Linked DNA regions of Lepisosteus oculatus. The main gene of each other region encodes a partner of the protein of the gene in region 2 in a complex. Links are inferred from orthologs where the notes say so. Each region holds a gene or a part of one and is shown on either strand. Other genes may lie near its edges.

The links. The genes of interacting proteins can lie anywhere in the genome.
Region 1: nup160 (region 2) and nup93 share a complex: the UniProt entries of both Homo sapiens proteins name them as parts of the nuclear pore complex. The link is inferred for Lepisosteus oculatus from reciprocal best matches to the Homo sapiens genes NUP160 and NUP93.

What each region holds. Positions count from the first base shown.
Region 1 is NC_090715.1:1,145,027-1,151,416, forward strand, and holds the start of nup93 (nuclear pore complex protein Nup93), read left to right. Parts: upstream 1-2,855; 5' UTR 2,856-3,007; intron 3,008-3,610; 5' UTR 3,611-3,617; coding exon 3,618-3,796; intron 3,797-4,321; coding exon 4,322-4,439; intron 4,440-6,390. UniProt on the Homo sapiens protein: Plays a role in the nuclear pore complex (NPC) assembly and/or maintenance. May anchor nucleoporins, but not NUP153 and TPR, to the NPC. During renal development, regulates podocyte migration and proliferation through SMAD4 signaling.
Region 2 is NC_090716.1:4,054,061-4,060,450, reverse strand, and holds the start of nup160 (nuclear pore complex protein Nup160), read left to right. Parts: upstream 1-2,736; 5' UTR 2,737-2,771; coding exon 2,772-2,868; intron 2,869-3,720; coding exon 3,721-3,829; intron 3,830-5,077; coding exon 5,078-5,288; intron 5,289-5,979; coding exon 5,980-6,202; intron 6,203-6,390. UniProt on the Homo sapiens protein: Functions as a component of the nuclear pore complex (NPC). Involved in poly(A)+ RNA transport.

The DNA of each region.
Region 1 (6,390 bases), on a different chromosome or scaffold from region 2:
GAACTACAGCGCCCGTCAGTCGGAGCTCCTGCTCTGCTCCCGAGAGGACTGACACCCCCTGCGCTTCAACACCCTTCCACCTGCGCTGGTTTATTTAATTCGCAAGTTACTTGAGTGGCACCTGTATGATGAGGGTTTTTCTGCTTGGCTCTGAGATCTTGTTAACCATGGAACACAATAGTTAGAACTTCTCCCCTGTTAATTAACATCAGAAAACCACGAGTTCATATTAACCCAATTACCTGGGCAAATAAGGGTTCAATCATGTAACCTAGACTGGGAACTCCCTGAAATTGTATCAATGCAGTAGTTACGGAAGATGCATCTTAAATATTTACCTACAAATCATTCTCATAGAAGCATAGACATCCAAAAGACCGGGACAGCGATTCAACGAGTGTGGAGCGAGCAGGAGCAGGGGTACGAGACTACAAGAGTGTGGATATCGACGATCGAGTAGCGATGACAAAGCACACAGCCCAGCTGGGCCTCTCGCAGCCAGTCTCCTGTGTTCAATTCAGCATTTTTCAATTGACAACTGTAATTGTTTTATAATATTTTTGGGGGAATTTAATTTTTTGTGCGCAGTTCAATTCCCTATGTGGGTTGATTTCATAACTTGTGTGCGTGCGCACACGCGCACAGCTGAGAGGGAGCATTGCTCCTTGAGCATTTTACAGAATGTTTCCTGATCTCCTCTGTGAAACTACAGTCTGAACTTGGCTTCCACAGACAGCCCAGGGAACCTGCAGAGCTTTGCTCTTCTAGTAAAAGGAAATATTTTGAATACTATGAGAAGGAAATAATTGTATAGTATATATCTCCTCTTAATGCAACATTAATGTATCATGATGTTCCACTATGACCAATAAAACAGTTATCACATGTTTAAGCACTGTTAAGTTATAGGGCTCTGGTGTGAAGTAGTGACCTTTAAAATTGTAATTTAAAAGAACTACTGAAGTTTTTGCTGAAGAGCACAGCGTTATGCTGGTCAGTGTTGTTGCCTCAGGAGATCTCGTGTCCTGAGTTCAGTTCTGACCTGAGATGCCTGTGTGTGGTCTGGCGGGCTCCTCTAGGTGCCCCAGTTTTCTCTGTGACTGCTGGATTAGGCTGTGGCTCATTGTGACCCAGGAATATTCCCTTACGTATGCCTTATAATTATTCAACATTATAATCCTCAAGGAGCAAACAGAACTCATATAGATCAAAAGAAAATGTCAATTGAAATAAAATCATTCATAGTCCAAGATGGAATGAAAACCGGATCAAGCTTGTGCCTCAAGAACCGAGAGTGAATATATAGATCAGGATCCAGCTGCTAGCGATAATGACCTCCAAGATCTCATGGATCACCGACTATCTGACAGGCAGACCACAGTTTGTGAGACTGCAGAACTGTGTGTCTGAACAGGTGGTGAGTAACACAGGGGCTCCTCAGGGGACAGTTCTTTCTCCGTTCCTCTTCACCCTCTGTGCTTTGGACTTTAAGTACAACTCAAAGTCATGCCACCTGCAGAAGCTCTCAGATGACTCTGCAATTGTAGGATGTATTGAGGGTGGGCTGGAGGAGGAGTACAGAGGACTGATTGACAGCTGTGTGGAGTGGTGTGGGGAGAACCACCTGCAATTGAACGTGGCAAAGACGAAGGAGTTAGTGATAGACTTCAGGAGGAAGAGGGTCCAACCTACTCCTGTGTGCATCCATGGGAGTGGTGTGGAGATAGTGGACTCATACAAGTACCTGGGAGTGCACATTGACGATAGACTGGAATGGTCTAAGAACACCGAGGCCAACTACATGAAGGGTCAGAGCCGACTCTACTCCTTGAGGAGGCTCAGGTCCTTCAATGTGTGTAGTAAGATGCTTCATATGTTCTATCAGTCAGTTGTAGCGAGTGCAGGTGTCTAAGCAGCGGTGTGCAGGGGCTGCACAGGTTGAACAACCTCATCAAAAGAGCAAATTCTGTCATTGAGTCTGATTGGGTCCCTTGGAGGTAAGATAAGATAAGATCACTTAATTGGCCACATACAATTTCTTGTATTAGGAATTTGTCTTTTTGTATTCCCCAACCTGCTCTCCATGAGACACACAGACAGGGAGAGAAGCTGGGGGTCAGAGCGCAGTGTCAGCCATTTATACGGCACCCCTGGAGCAGATGGGGTTGAGGGCCTTGCTTAGGGGCCCAACAGAGTAGGATTCCTTTGCGAGCCGTAGGATACGAACCGGCAACCTACTGGCGCAGATCCTTAGCCAAGGAGAAGAATGGTGTCCAAAAATGGACAACACCTCCCATCCCCTCTATGACACGCTTGTGAGAATGAAGAGCACGTTCAGCAATAGGCTGATCCACCCGCGGTGCGACAGGGAGTGCTAGAGAAGGGCATTCTTGCCTTCTGCCATTAGACTATACAACTCATCCACTGTGTGTCTGGGCAGGGGAAGGTTGACTAAACATGAATTCTCTGTTTACAGCTGGTTTTTCTGTTTACAACTGATGTGCAATATATGCTGGTGGATTTGTGCAATATATTTATACTGTGCAATACATCTTGTGTACTGCAACTCTGCATACTCCATTTTTTACTGCACTTCTCACTGACTTTATTGTATTGTTGTATTATTGTATCATTTTGTTACACTGTGCTGTGTTGAGTGTGCCTGGCTGTTGTTGCACTGCAATTTCTGCAATTTTAATAAAGTATCTATCTAATGGGTTGGTGCACGTAATCGCCATTGCGGCTCACAGTTCTAGAGCCAACATGGCGTCGGCCTCACGACGCGCAAGTGCGAAGTGCGGTGTTTGTCCTCCCCTGTCATTCAATAAAGTTATATTGAAGGCGCTGAGGCCTGTGGGAGCAGTGGGGTCCAATGAGAAGAGGGTTGAGGAAGTGCCGGGAGGAATGTGCTCCGCCGAAGGAGGGATACAGTTAGGCGAGCTGCTGTCAAAATATACATCTTTTTAAACGCGATATCGAATAACTTTACTTAAGTCTAAGGTAGAAGGTGAGTAAATCCTCGTATATGATGTTTCTAGTTCTGACAGAGGATCACTACGGCCTGTTTTTTCTCGACATCTTAAGCGCCGAGCTGGTAATACGCACGTTGGACAGTGGTTACACTGCGATTATTGTCCGTTATTGATCTTAGGCTTATGTATTTACGGTTTTCCAAACAGCATGATAAATTGTAAAAGCCTTTTTTTTCCCTGCACAAAATAGTTTCAGATTTCTGATTACGCGCTGTTTTACTTACAAGTCTGGGAAGAATGGCCGGGTTTCAGTCATTCAAGACACCCAACTGCGCTTTTGCTGTGTAAAATCTGGGCGCTGAATACTAATATTTTTTAAAAAATTCCCACGCTGATCTGAATTGTGGTTTGCAGGGGCCCCTTCTTTCAGTTTTTAAAGACGGGTGTATGAAGTTCTGTTATTTTGATGCTCCATCGGTGCCCGTTGTGATATCGGCCATTGTACGTTCATCGGTCCCCCCTGGACCGAGGAGATGCCTGTAGGTGACTGTGGTGTCAATAAGTGGATAGTGTTCGTCCTGAGAGCGATGCGGCCCAGAGCTCCCGCCCTCAGCTCGTCCCGCCGCTCCTGCCTGCAGGCCGGCCATGGACGCGGAGGGCTTCGGAGAGCTGCTGCAGCAGGCGGAGCAGCTGGCGGCCGAGACGGAGGCCATCTCGGAGCTGCCCCACGTGGAGCGCAACCTGCAGGAGATCCAGCAGGCCGGCGAGAGGCTCCGGTCGCGCACCCTGACCCGCGCCTCCCAGGAGACGGCCGACGTCAAGGCGTAAGTGCTGCGGCGCTCGGGGGGGGGGAATCTGAGCTCCTCAAGCTTGTCGTCTTGAAAAAGAGCAGCATTGAAGTAGTCTTGTTCCCCAGACCTGTCACTGTCCCTGTCTCCTGATGCCTGTGCCCTGTTCGCACTTCTGTTCATGCTTGCCCTGGCTTCCCTGCCAGAGGGCAAATGTGGTTACAAATGGTACTCGTCTTCAGGGTTTAAGGAGGAAGACTTGCCCAGTTATGAGTCTGCCCTCCTGCCATAGTGCTATTGGTTATGTCATGTAAATGATCTTCTCTTTGCAAATGTGATGATGAAGCTGATAATGTGCAACATTGGGCTGCTTGCTTTAGTAAAGACAGAAACCAGAAATAAGACTCTTAACAGTATAGATACATTTTGTATAGCTCATTTCCCTGACACACTTCAGCTGATTCTTGCCTCTAATGTTCTACACCCATAACCCAAACAGAGAGCGAGAGCTCAGAGTTGGTTTGTGTCCACACTATGCCCTGACTGGCCTGTCTGTTTCAGCTCAATCCTGCTGGGATCCAGAGGACTGGACATTTTCCACATCTCTCAGCGCCTGGAGAGCTTGAGCGCGGCAACAACGTTTGAGCCCCTGGAGCCCGTGAAGGACACGGATATACAGGTACCGTGCTGGTCCTGAGAGGGATCCTGGGTCCTGTGTGGGTCTGGTGATGTGTTACTGGGTGAGGACTGCTGTCTGCTTTGCACCGCTGTGCAGACCCATTGTTAGAAGGCCTTGTATCCGTTCTTCTTGGGTACCATAAAGTCCTTAGACTTAGAAGCCAGAAATGGCTTCTGTAATTGGTGCCAGGTGTGGAAGGCAGGAGAACTAGTCTGTTCCACCTGGATGCTCTTGGGTTTGTGTCCTTGGTGTGGGTGGTGCCACGGGTCTCAGAACTGTGACCTTTGGACACTGGGGGGTGTTCAGAGGTTCTGCTACTGCTCCTGGGCGGACTGATCAGGTTCAGTGTCTCCTGGCACTGGGCTAGGCCCGCAGAGGATCCGGTGCGCAGTGCCCTGCGGTTCAGAAGCTGCCAGTCCAGTCTGGGTCGTGTCACTAGCGGGTTGTGACAGGGAGTCCCCCAGCAGAAGCACACAGCTGTCGTGACGGCTGCCAGAATACTGCTGGCGTTAGCTGACGTGATGCAGCAAGGGCTGCTGGGACCTGCCTGGTGCCCAGCAAACATGCAGTGACATCAGGAGGTGATGTACCCCCCCTGCAGCTGGCATGGACTATCTGACATGAATCACTTCCTAAACTGGATACAGATAGATGATAACATGGTCGAAAATTCCAAATCAATTTAAAGGCAACAATTTTAACTTAAATGTCTTTCTCGTTAGTCACAGCTCCTGCAGATGGATGTTTGATTTATCCGATTGAATTCACACATGTGGTTTGACTACAGGTTTAGTCAATGCTGTGCGTTGACAATGCTTCTGATCTGTTGCTTTAGTTGCGTACACTGTCGCCCTTGTGTGGGTACAACAGGGCTCTGTGTGCTTCTTTGTGCTCAGTGCAGCCCAGCTTGTGTTTGGAAAGGGAGTGTTGCAGTAACATCACAAGGTTTTGTCTTTTGTCACGGAGAACTTGCTTGTGCTTGCCCCCTGCCTGTCCTGAGTGACCCTTCTTTTGCTGTGCAATACCCCAAAATCAAGCTGGCAGTTTGCAGCCGAACCCCAATCGCCGCCGAGCCTACCTGCAGTCCGGTGGGACCTGTTACGCCTCGATGCTGTGTCTGTGCTCGACCCGGGACGAACACAGTAGTGTGAAAGGGGCATGTGGGACCCTGAGATGAGGCTTCACCAGCCTGGAAAAGGGCCCTTCGTGCTCATCTCGGGGTCCTTGGTTGTTGGAGTGTTGATATTTAACACTACGGTTGTAACAGGGTTGATATTGTAGTGGTCTGATTTTGTGTTTTTGTTGTGCATAGTGGTACTGATTTCTCACAGCTGCGCTGTCCTGCCTGTCAGTATGGAACAGAACAAGCTGAGTTTCATGGTGTTGCAGTCCGTGGTGCACTGATGCTTCAGATGGTGCCTCTGGCCCTCGTGCTGGTAGAGTCCCGCTGAAAGAAGGGACCTCTCTAGACGTAGAGTTTGCTCAAAGCAAAGCAAAGCAAAGCGAAGCAGGAGATTTGTTTCGATTCAGTAGCTGCGAGATCATCTGAAATGAAATGAAAACGTTTGGAAAGGGAAACGTGAGCAGCCGGTTGCTCTCTAAGTGGTGCTGGCTTAACTGACCAAGTGGACCCCCCAGTCTGATCGAGGCTGCTGTTGCAGGCCTTCACAAGCTGCTGATTTAGCAGTGACCTGTAAGACCTGTTGGATTTTGGCTCTCCAGGATTAGGGTTGGACAACCTTGTATAAAAGGGTTAATAGATGATACAGCGTATCATAATATATTTACTTTTTTTACTCCTTTCACGTTTCTCTGCTGTGTTTTAGTTACTTCATTTCTATTTATATGAGAAATAACTGGCCCTGAGACATGTGCTTGAATTGCCCTAAGGGGTGCAGTTTGCGTGTCAATTTTCTGGGAAGAAGAGGAAGCGCAGAGTAACAACTGTGTT
Region 2 (6,390 bases):
ATGTAATGTATTTTTATATTTTGTTACTAGTGGTACTGCAGGGCACTCCTATGCAGTATTATACAGTATAATAGCAGATCCCTGGGCATTAGTTTTTGAGAAGTTGACCAAAAGCAACAGAGTATGCAAGCTCGTCTCTAGTTGTTTATGAATTACCTTCACGGTTATGTAGGAAGCAAAGAGTCAAAGAGGAGTCCCCGTTGTGTTTTAGGACGGTGCCCCAGAAATATGGAGTAAAGTATCTAGACTGTCAAGCACAGCTGAGCAAAGGTTGTGTGGAGGGGAGTACATTTCTAACACATTGGCTGGACACAGAGACATAATGCATCTTCCTGAAAAACAAAGAAGGTAACCAAGAAAATAAAATGACCAAGACTTAAACGGGTTTTTTATTTGCATCACAACAAATAAGAAAGCACACGTGCGCACAAACCACAATATGCTTTAAGAGCTTGTAGAATGAAATGCACAACAAAAGTGTTATTATGCGCAGGGCAATCAACGAAAACCTCAAAAGATGCAATTTTCCATACTGATCTTAAAAAAAGGATCTGAATGCTGCAGGTTACAACTGAATCCAGTTTGCGCTGTCTGCTCTTCTGACACAGGGCTCGTGCTTGTTCTGTGCCAGATTATAAACTCTGGGTGACAGGAGCTTCTCTGGTCATGCTGGCAAAGTAACAATCCATTTCCTTCGCTCCAGTGCCTTTTGCCTTTTGCTTTCATATCAAAGGCTCTCAAAAGCACTTTACCTACAGGAGAGGAGCCACTTCATCCAGTACTGAAGTGCTCTCCCCGCCTGAAGACCGACCAGTTAGTTGCTTTATACCGGTTACATTCAAAGTAAACTTCAGATCGTTGAGATCCGGAGTTTCTGTCGAAAAGTGCCCTGGGATCTTTGCATTCCTGGGTTTATAATCCCAGGCAGAGGGCGATACCCAGCAAGAAGATGATCTTATCTTATCTTATACCTCCTGCAGCATAGTGTACACAGTCACCATACGGTAACATTGGTTGGAATATTCTGGTCCCGAGTAGACTGCGCCACCTGCTGGATCCCCCCACTACATTCATTTCTCCTGGCGTTACATTCGTTTTATATAGTCGAATGTGCTGATTTTTTTTTAATCAACGCTGATATAGTATCCCCTGTTGCTGGTGTTTTTACGATGGACTTTTTTGTTTTGGTGTTTAAGGTTGAGCAGGAGATCTGTGCTTGGGGTCATAGTCGTTTTTTTTTTCCACATCGCCTGGAGTTGAGAAACGGTCAGGAAACGCGTCCGTTTTCGCAACCGTCGGACTGCAGCCCTGTCGGTTCGCCTTGCGCTCGATCGGGTCCTGCCTCTCGGATTTGCCCCCCATTAAGAGGAAGGTGCTGTTGCACAACGTTAACAGCTTTGCGCCAGGGGTGAATTCGGTCTTTGATTAGGCAGCGACGCGACTTGATCGGCGCTGCATCAGATCCGCCAGAACGGTGTTGACGCTACCGGCATTTAACGTGACCTTATGGTATTTACATCTGGGGTCGGAAAGCAAAACCAAACTGCCCGGGATTGTGAAAATGGCAGGAAACATAATTGGGAAACAGCAGCCCCAACTCTGTGATTTATATGGTGATACAGTTCTCAGAATGGCGAGGAACATCACAGCTGCCTCCACATACCTGCTCCATTCTCAGTTCATAATGTTCCCATCAGGGAGACGGCATAGGGACCACAATTCAAATAAAAACATTTATAAGACGTCCTTTGTCCCCTCTGCATTAAAACTACTCATTGGCGGTCTGTCAATGTAGCCCCACCTCTAATTATCCAGTTACTTATGTATCACTTACTGTTGCCGTGATTTCAATGTGATTTTATGTGACTCGTGTGTTTTGTACTTCTGTGGGAGAAGCCAAAGACAGCTTTCCGCAGCGGGGGACAGTGAAGTGTCTGTCCGCAGTGCCGGGGTGCGGGTTCGAGTCCCACGTGCGCCGGGGCTGGGTGTTCCGCTGGGCGTCGTGTCCACTTTCTGCAGCCCCGCGACAGAGGGGTCGAGCGCTCAGCTACATGAGAAAGGGGCGCAAATATTTAAGTCGCGTTGCCGAAAAAAAGCATTCAAGTATAATAGTAATACCGTGGGCGGCTTAGTGCTCGTTAGCCTAAGTTGTGCGTAAGTATAGGTCTAATTCTGGGACCTTGTTCAGCGGTATTAAATCATTTTGATATTTGCTTTGTACAACAAATCTCAGAAAATGCCCCTCCTGTGTCAGTGCGTTTATAGCAGTATAAAGCACACTCAGCAAGGGGCACCCTTACTTGATTTGAGCGAGCTTATGTAATACATTGTGTAAGCGAGTGGTTTTTTTTTTACATTTGAATTTCTCTTTAGAAAAAAAAGATTGCCGTCCCCTCGGCAGAGACGTTTACAACGATTTAGTTTCTAAAAGAAAAATCGGAGATTATCAGTGCTTTTAAAAAAAATCAATTACCATGGAGAAACGTTCTGCGCTGTAAAAACGAGTCGAACGACGTCAAACAACCTCCTTGTATCGAAATTTACTCTGTTCCTATGACAGCTCATGCTGTTTAACCCTGTGCATTGTTTTGTTAATTGCAGAGCATTTTCAGTGATTATGCTGCACTGGATGTACGTTTAAGCCATTGATTATTGATCATGCCCTTGGCACGGGCAGGCGGTACTGCGCCTTTAAGAGTTTGAAAGAGCGCGTGGCGGGTCTGTTGTGGGACCGCCCACTTAGCCTTTCCCAGGGTGCACCGGGGGTCAAGATGGCGGCCGCGGCGGCACTGGAGCGGAGCTACATAGAAATATGTGGTTTCGAGAGAGAAACCCTCCAGAAATTCCGAGATATAACGGTTGATCCAGGTAAAGGCCCTTAAAGGATCACGCACGGGGGACGGGGGACTGTACTTTGTTGGGTAAGATAGTACGATCCCCGGAAGACGAGGTCGTGACTGCCCACCATGCAGCGGGTTAGCCATGCCTTCGGTAGAGCGCCTATTTGACACTGTACTAGCAAGTAAATCAATTAAGGTACCAAGCCGCCCCGCGGGTCTGGAAAACCCAAGTATCACACCTTGATTGGTGCCCTCCAGTAGATCTTGAAGTAGTCGAGGTAGGGTTTTTTCTAAAGTGTTCTGCAAACTTGGCTTTTTGAAGAGGAGCAGAGGCATGGATTATGAATTCGTTATTTGTAAAGTTGCGGTCATTTCCTACACAACATAAATGCTTTGATTTTAAGGTGGCTTTAATTTCGCTTTACAGTGATTTACATCTTAATCATGGAGTTAGTCTCGGACTCTATATGCTTATAATGACCTAACTGTAATCTTAAGTATCGCGCAGTGGAAACTCGATTAGTACAATTCTTTCGAATCCCATTATCCGCGGTGAATCCAGCAGGACGGTAAGCCCCAACACTGCGAGATGTGTGCTAGCAAGTCTTTTCAGCACCCTGCTTTTCCTGGGCGTCTCTAGATATATCGAGCCTGATACAAGCATGCAGCGTCCGGCGCCCCGCTTTCTCTTGGAATTTACACAGGAAGATAAAAATATGAGTGTTGCCACCAGTCACTCACTGGACTGTATTGCTGGACTGGAGAGGGCGGGTTTGTTTTTTAGTTGAAAGCCTTTGCAGAGTCTAAAGCCTTACGAAGAAAACTCCCTTTTCGCTCGCACGCTGTGATACAACCCTTTGTCTTTTTCTCTGATTGCAAGGGGTGAATGCTCTTCCCGGAGGAGTCAAATATCCGGACAGTGCTGGTGGATTCCATTATGAGGAATGTGATAAGCTCCTGTCTGTTACAAGCAACAGGTTCATACAGTGGTGAGCTGCAAATCTTTTTCTTTTACCTAACACTTGTCATACTAGCATAGTAACGGGGATACTATACTGTAAAAAGGCGCCGTCCTTCAGCTGAGATGTAAAACCGAAGTACTGATTCATCTGTAAACTGGCTTCATCTCCTCCCCACTGAGAGCTGGTGTGTGGTGAGCGTTCTGGCACACTATGGCTGCTGGCGCATCATCCAGGTGGGGCTGCACACTGGTGGGGGTGTAGGGGATCCCCATTACCTGTAAAAAGCTTTGTGTGGAGTGTCCAGAAAAGCGCTATATAGGTGCATAATGCTAGCATAATGAGGGCCCTTTTTGATTTGCAATATTGGTGTTTCTTGCAGTTTTCTGGGACAGTTTTCTGGGTGTTTTCTCATTGCAAATCTGTAGGTGATAATGTCTACTTGCTGTGGTGTCTCGGGAAATTATGTTTACTTCGTGGCACTAACAATGCGATGCTGGTTTGTAGTGCGTCCTGATCGTTTCCCACCCCAGGCGGAGTGGAGCGGTTCATACTGTATCTCCCAGCTGCTCGTATGTCAGGGCTTAATTCAGGGTAAATTGCTCCCTGGGCTCAAACAGTCTGACCCCCCCAAAAGCTCCGTTGAATTAATCTCCTGCTGAGCAGTGGGGTGGAGTAGGTCTCCTCCCTCATGTGGAGTGTTCTTGCAGCCCCTGGGATGAACAACGCTATGCAAATGGCAGGAATTATCAATAAAAGCATGCAGTCGACTTTGGTAAATGAACGCCTTCATTGATCTGCTAGAATTGCTTTTCCTCAGTTTGTTGTTAATTTCTCTTATCTAAAGACTGCAGGGTTTTTTTATACTGCCCTCCAGGTAGGGCCCAAAGCATCAGAAGATTCTATGCATTATGCAAGCATTATGTAGTCAATACGGGGGGGCAAGCATCTCGGAGGTCCTTGGTTCAGTTCCTGTCCGTGTGGAGTTTGTATGTTCTCCCTATGTTTATGTTGGTTTCCCCCACATGCTCTGGTTTCCTCCCACAGTCCCAAGACATGCTGGTGGGTTAATTGGCTTTTGGGTAAACTGGCCCTGGTGTGTATGTGCCCTGTGCCCTGTGAGGGACTGACATCCCACCCAGGATGTACCCCACCCTTGCTTGCCGTGACAGGCTCCGTCTCCCTCGCGCCCCTGATCTGGAAGAAGCAGTTAGGAAAGTGGGTTGTTGTGGTGTTGGTGGTGTGGGGCATGAAATCGCACTTTCTCACCGCCTCCAGGAGCACCTCCGGCGACACTGTCCAGCTGGTGGAGCAGTCCCTGGACACCAACCTGCTGAACAACGCCGTGCGCTTGAAGATCCTCCACTGCGCCCTGCTGCCCGGGGGGGTGCACATCCAGGAGACCTGCAACCATGTCGTCGTCCTCGTGGTCACCAGCCAGACCGTGCACCGGCTGGTCCTGCCCCACCCCTCCCGCATGTACAGGAGTGTAAGTTCTCCGGGAGATGCCGATTGCTCCTGCCTGGTTTCTCAGCGCCCCAAAACCAGGATATCAGGTTCTTTTTGTCTTGTTACAGTCGCAGCAGGGGCTTGCATTACAGACAGCAGGCCGATGGTCACTCAGGAAATTGGGGCTGGTTCTTGTGGTCACTGACTGCTTGCAGGCCTGCTTGTTTGTACCGGATTTTACACTAGAGTTTGCCCACGCTTAACCAGGGAAAAAGATTTCGGTGAAATCACCCAGGGATGTTTTGCACGGTGAAACCTGGTAGCCCAGAGTCCTTAATCATGTTGGTGTTCCCCGTTAACGTCTTAGCTGTGTACCTACTGTGTACTCCGGGGCAGAGCGGTGGCTCTGTGGCTGGGAGGTTGCCGGTTCAAATCCTGCAGCCGGCAGAGGAATCCTACTCCGTTGGGCCCCTGAGCAAGGCCCTGAACCCCAACTGCTCCAGGGGCGCCGTATAAATGGCTGACCCTGCGCTCTGACCCTAACCTTCTCTCTCTTTCCGTCTGTGTGCCTGTGTGTCTCATGGAGAGCAAGTTGGAGTATGCGGAAGACAAGTTCCTAATGCAAGAAATTGTATATGGCCAATAAAGTGACCATATCTTACATCTTACATCTGCTGTGTGCGTTCCGTATTGTAGAGTAATGGAGGTTCTGTGGGTCTTTTATCTCCCAGGAGCTGGTCACCGAACTCCAGATGCAGTCTATATTCACGGACGTCGGGAAGGTGAACCTGCGAGATCCCGCCAACACCTCCGTGATCCCGGCCCTTCCCGGGCCGGTGGCGAGCTCCGGCGCCTCCGCAGCCTGGGTCAACGGCGAGGGGGAGGCGCACTTCGCCGTGGCGTCGGCGTCGGGGGGCATCCTGGTCATCAGGCTGCCCCCCCACGATGTGCAAGGTGAGGGTCCCCCGCCAGGACGAATTTGGCCCCGGCTCTGCCGCCGGGAGCCCACCAGGCCGCGAGCAGCGGCTCCTGTCCCGGTGAAGAATGTGGTCGAGAGGAGTGAACGAGGTGAGGTTTCGTGGCTGGGCAGGTAGTTTAGAAAGTAGCATAAAGGAACATCAAGTGAGAGGAGGCCATTCAGC